2 separate regions of the Mus musculus genome follow, and region 2 is reported to be linked to region 1. Evidence: microRNA targets listed by miRTarBase, many of them from high-throughput screens and not tested one by one. Region 1 holds a microRNA gene; the other region holds the end of a gene's coding sequence.

What was found. Region 1 holds the annotated microRNA mmu-miR-3471 (UGAGAUCCAACUGUAAGGCAUU, at 1,157-1,178, opposite strand). A microRNA usually pairs through its seed, bases 2 to 8, with sites in the 3' UTR of a target mRNA and lowers its output. Matches are read on the target gene's strand: a 7mer-m8 pairs with bases 2 to 8, a 7mer-A1 pairs with bases 2 to 7 and ends in A, and an 8mer does both.
Region 2: the mRNA of Ankrd28 is a reported target of mmu-miR-3471. Seed matches in the 3' UTR shown: 7mer-A1 at 1,710-1,716.

Annotation. Positions count from the first base shown.
Region 1 is chr4:3,535,038-3,538,280 of GRCm38, reverse strand. Mir3471-2 (microRNA 3471-2) reads right to left here and starts at 1,191; the gene lies at 1,090-1,191.
Region 2 is chr14:31,699,463-31,702,462 of GRCm38, reverse strand. Ankrd28 (ankyrin repeat domain 28) reads left to right here. Exons shown (of 28, transcript NM_001024604.2): 28 at 157-2,448. The coding sequence ends at 443. Among named protein-coding and RNA genes, the nearest start is that of Btd, 60 kb to the right of the region's middle.

The DNA of each region.
Region 1 (3,243 bases):
GTAATCTCTAGAGTTAGTTGATTTAGTTGTTTCTGGTTAGAGATTGTTCCTCTCGTGATTCTGTTACCCTCTATCAGCAGACCTGGGAGACTATCTCTCTCCTCTGAGTTTCAGTGGTCAGAGCACTCTCTGCAGGCAAGGTCTCCTCTTACAGGGAAGGTGCACAGAGATCTGGCGTTCGGACCTCCCTCCTGGCTAAAGATGAATGCCCAAAACAGGATCTGTCCCAGAAGCTGTGTGCTTCGGCCTGTCACAGAAGCTGTTACCCTCTGTAGTCCACACTCTCACCTGTGCAGAATACTCTCAGAGGAGTCCCGGAACCAAGATGTCTGCAGCCGATGCTCAGGCAAAGCCCTCCCGGGCCAGGTGTACACCTATCCTCTGGCCGGCAAGGTGCACGGATGTCTGGAGCCCTAAAAGGGTCTGCCTCAGAAGCTCTGTGGCTCCCTCCTGTCCCAGAAGCTGTTAGCTTCTGTAGTCCACACTCTCACCTTGCAGAATACTCTCGGCGGAGTCCCGGAACCAAGATGTCTCAGCAGGTGTCTTAATTTAGATTTTATTGCTGTAAAGAGATTCCATGGACAAGACAACTTTTATCAAGGCAAATATTTCATTGAGGCTAGCGTACAGTTTTTGAGATTTAGTTCATTATCATCATGGTGGAAAGAATGACATCTTGCAGGAAGACATGATACTGGAGGCGCCGAGAGTTCTACATCTTCATTTGAAGCAGCAGAAAGAGACTCTGATTCCACACTGGGCAGAGCCTGAGCATAGGATACCTCAAAGCCCACCTACACAATGACCCACTTCCTCCATCAAGGCCACACCTGCTCCAATAAGGCCATACCTCTTAATAGTACTGTCTTAGTCAGGGTTTCTAGTCCTGTACAAACATCATGACCAGGAAGCAAGTTGGGGAGGAAAGGGTTTATTCGGCTTACACTTCCACATTGCTGTTCATCACCAAGGAAGTCAGGACTGGAACTCAAGCAGGTCAGAAAGCAGAAGCTGATGCAGAGGCCATGGAGGGATGTTCCTTACTGACTTGCTTCCCCTGGCTTGCTCAGCCTGCTCTCTTATAGAACCCAAGACTACCAGCCCAGAGATTGTCCCACCCACAAGGGGCCTTTTCCCCTTTATCACTAATTGGGAAAATGCCTTACAGTTGGATCTCATGGAGGCATTTCTTCAATTGCAGCTCCTTTCTCTGTGATAACTCCAGCTGTGTCAAGTTGACACAAAACTAGCCAGTACAAGTACCATCTGCTATGGCCAAACATTAAAACACAGGAATCTGGTGGTAGGGGGACAGACATTCAAAGCACCACAGCAGATAAAGACACTTGCTACCAAGCCTGCATTCAATCCCTGGGACCCACATGGTGGAAAGAAAAGAAAAAAACCCTGCCAATTGTTCTCTGACCATACATGTTTACTGTGGCTTCTGTATGCCCACACATATACACAGTAAATAATATTAAAAATTCAATGTTCATTAGTTTTCCACTATGGTTATATCAGATTTTTTACTTCAACCTTCACTGGAAACTTGGAACAGTGCAGTTTTCCTGCCTCTTTAGTCCTATGTAATATGGTGTGATTTCTCAGTCCTTATATTGTCTTTAATACTGTGAATTTGGAATGGAAGGAATGCTTGTTTCCTTGTTAATCCCTTAATTTTTATTTTCTGATGCTTTTATCATGACTTGATTCAGTGTGATCCAGACTTACGATTTTAATGGTATGGCTTTTAAAAGCACATCACATGAGGAGATCTTGTTGATTTGTGTCATCTGTAATGGTAGTTAACTGGTCAGTTAAGACAGTGAGCACAGTTCTCTCCCCAAAGTTATTTTTGTCTTCTTAATCAGTAAATATATGGACAGATACTTTGAAAGCATCTGTATCTCTGACCTTCACTAAACTTTAATTTACTAGTTTATCATCCTTTAACTCTTGTTTGGACGAATTGTTAGTCTGGGATTTTAGTAGTGTAGGTTTGTAGTTGTGTTCTGTACTTAGCAGTTGGCAGTTTAGAAAGACTATCTGGAGCTTAGACAAGGGATTCATCAAAGAGTTACGCATAACCATTTAAGCTGTTTGAACTGAGGCCTTCTGAAGTTTGCATATAGTGGACTGAAGGGATGGCTGTGATTTGTGGGCGTGTTTCTGTAGTTCTATATTTGATGATGATTTTTCTTTACGTTTGCATTAGTGCAGTTTTAAAAGTGACAGTTTTTTTCTCTATCCTGGTTACCTCCCAAATTAATGAATTAGAGACTATAAGATTTAATCAAACTTGTGGCACAATAGCCGAGCAGTATTAATATACTTGAATCTTCTAAACTAATCTGGCTACCTCCCAGCCCAAATCCTCAAGATGCAAGTGCATTTTAGTATCTGTCTGCTCCGGATGTGTTCCCATGGTGTCCTCTGGGCTCTCCTTGTGGTGAATCCTTCTTTCTCTTTCTCCCTGTCTCCTGGCTGGGATCAGAAGTCTGGCCCTGTTCTTTTTTTCTGCTCAGCCATTGGCTGATGAGCTTTTATTGACAATTCAGAGAATAAATGGGGAGCAGTGTTTATAGGATGCCATGTCCAGATTGCAACAGATAATTGGGTTGGAGTAGGGGATGGGGGTGATCAGCATTTAATAATCTTTACACAGTGCATAGTAACATCATACCTACCCATCTATTTGCTTGATTGTTTACTCTGTGTGTGTGTGTGTGTGCCTGCGTGCACACATGTGTGCTTTCGTGTATGCCTGCCTGTGCTGCACAGCATGCATGTGGAGGTCAGAGGACTTCCTGTGGGAGCTTATTCTCTCTTACGACATTGGTTCTGAGGGTTAAACTGGCCAGTGAGGCTTGGCAACAAATGTCTTTACCTGCTAATCCATCTGTTTGACACCGTAATGATCATTTCTCAAAAATGTTTTGTTTTCTTTTTGGAAAATACATGTGATATCAAGTTCATTGTTTGATAATTTCAAATATACTCACTGTTGTTAAGTACATTCACAGTGTAGGACCATCACTATGAGTCATGTTCCAGAACTTTTGTCATCTCAGATGAAATGATGAAAGTTTATTTTAATAACTGAAGAATCAGCAAAGCAATCTGTCCCTCAGCCCCTGCACACATGCTCAGCCAAAACACAATTTCTACCTTCTGTTTGAATATGTTTCTCTACTCTGCACACCTCAAATAAATAGTATCACGCTGTTGTCCTTTGTGTCT
Region 2 (3,000 bases), not on the chromosome of region 1:
CTCCTTCTACCTCACATTCTTAGCATTGTACCTCTTCCTGCTTACTAGACAGTTGTGAATTTATCTACTCAAAGTATCTGCTGTAAGCCATCAAATCTGTGTGTGAAGATGGAAGATCTTGGGATGTTAACTTTTAAATTTTAAATTCAATTATAGGCTACACCCCAGCTTTGGCCTGTGCTCCCAATAAGGATGTGGCTGACTGCCTGGCTCTCATTTTGGCCACCATGATGCCTGTCTCGTCAAGTAGCCCATTGACATCCCTGACATTCAATGCCATTAACCGTTATACCAACACCTCAAAAACAGTTAGCTTTGAAGCCTTGCCTATCATGAGGAATGAAGCCAGCTCCTACTGCAGTTTTAACAACATTGGTGGCGAGCAGGAGTACTTGTACACCGACGTGGATGAGCTCAACGACTCTGACTCCGAGACCTACTGAAAGGCCGAGTGAGCTGCAGCTCTAAGGAAGTTCTGACACTGAAACTTCAAATCGGGCTTTTTCGGGAAAAAGGCACTTTCTTATCATACACAGATTCAACCTGAAGAAAGATCATGCAGTGAACGAATGGAAGAAACATGATGACATTAGGAAGAAGAGTCTTAAAGGCAAGTTTTGCAAAAGGAACTTCTAGAATCTTAATAATGACTTGACCAGTGGAAAACACAGTGATGTCGATTGCTTTGTGGGATCGTTTAATTGGCTTTGCAGTGCCAGAAATTGGGACACTGCTCCCTGACCTGCTTACATGGGCAACACTGCTGTAAAGAAAGAGATCAAAACACTAGATTAAATTTTACCCATAAAATTACAGCTAAATTTTAATGCAATAAAAGTTTGGTATAATAGGCATTATGTACACATCAAATTGCCAAGGACCAAATAACATACAGATTTTTTTATTAGAACTCCATTTTGTGGAAACGGAAATAGATGAAATGAGAAGTCGTCTAAAGCAAACTTCAGTGCTTCTGAAAGTGAGGCCAGATTCGGTTTGGTGTTGGTTTTTATAAGAAAGCATCTACTGTATTAAGCCATGAGAGGAAGCAGATGTATTTTTACATTTTTTAATATAAAAGTTTTTAAATTCCACTTTTTATAGACTTCAGAACCAGTTAACTGGGTGCAGCGTGGTTGAAAGTACTAGAGACAGACGCAGATGAAGTCAGGGCTGTTGCCCACGATTGAGTGGTTTGCTTTTAAATTGAATTGTTTTTGTTTAAGGAATTCCATAGAGGAAATTTTTAATGAATTTAAAAAACAGACTATTTCACCTCTTGTAATGCAGCGGTCCTGGAGAAGGGACATCTGAGCCTCTCTGTGCGCGGCACACCTGCATCACGTTAGTTACTTTGGGACCTCTACCTTTTTTGGCTGGAGGAATTCTATTGTCATTTATTTTAATCTTTGAACTTTAAAAACAAGAATCAAAATTTTAAAAAGTTTGAAGACTCTTGTTATGAAACATTGTCGAAAGCTGGTTGTGAATTCTATACAAACTGGGATTGTAAATGTTTTATGTAAAAGAAAATACTTAAAAATGTACCTGCTTCCTCTCCTGCGTCCTCACAGCACTGGAAGGTTCTTGAATGCATCCTTTCCTTTGTTGTTGTTGTTGTTGTTGTAGTCGTTTGTTGTTTTAAGACAGGGCTCTCTATGTGTAGCCCTGGCTGTACTAGAGTTTGCTTTGTAGACCAGGCTGGCCTCGATCTCACAGAGATTCACCTGTCTCAGCTTCCTAAGTGCTGGGATTAAAGGTGTGCACCACCACTGCCTGGCTTCAGATGTTTTCTTTATAAAAATCAACATCAAACCATTTGGCTTCCTTCTCAGAAGCATTGGAGTTTGCTTTAGATGATGACTCATAACATAAACAGAATCAGGTCATTTGGAAGGCATTTCTGTACTGGGCAAGATTTAAAATACTTCAGGCTTTAGGTCCTCCTGAGATCTAGAGTAGCGGGTGTGCAGCTTCTTACTGTCAGAGCTTGCCTGCCAAATTGAAGACTGCCTTTCAGGTAACAGAGAAGAGGCTGACAGTAGGCTAATTTTAAATTACACTTTTCTGTGGTTCTTTTATTGTAACTGTCACTTTCCCAGTAACAATGATTTTACATTGGGGGGAGGGGTCTTACTAGAGCTGGGTAAAGTTCCATACATTGCAACAAAATGATACCCAATTCCATCTTACCCTTTTTGTATTGTGAAACTGGAACTTTATGACATTGTAAATTATCAGCTGGTTTTTCTGAATATAAAGTGTGAAAACACAGAACAGTATTTTGATCTATTTGATAATTTTGTGGGTTTTTTGAAGAATTAATGAGCATGTACATAGAAATAGTGACTGCTTGAATCCTGTATTTACTTGCACTCTTTCAGTACATCAAGATTCCTGTATATTTTAGAGTATAATAAAACACAGACGTGAGCTGTATTTAATGAATAATGTATTTGTATCTGTGCATATTACTTAAAAATCTATAAAGTTTCTAGGGCATTGACTACTAGATTTTAAGCATTTTTCTAAAATATTTGCAAAATTATAAATATAATCTCCATCTTTTCTTTATAATATAAAGGAGTCGTAATGAACCCTTCGTAATTAATAGTGGGAGAAGGGTAAATATGCATTTTAAAAGACCGTAGACTACATTTCTATTGTACCTTTTAAAAAAGAAAACTCAAGAGGATTCTAAAAGTATACCATATGTGTGCTTTCTCTTTCCTTTTAGGAATTCTCTTCTGAATTCCCTGAGGGAATTTTCTAGAATCTCAGAATTGAAAGAGACCTGAGGTCCATCCAGTCTAACCTCTTAAATGCAGGAGTCCCTTCTCCAAGGTTGTCTTTCCACCTTGAACACTTCCAGTGACTACCTCACGAGCAGTCCATTCATTGTTGAGCAGCTCTGTTAGGAAGGTCTCCTTAATGGAGCTGAAGCCTCCCTCCTGGTAACTTCTGTCCTTGGGCCCAGCTCTGTCCTCCAAGGGAATGCTG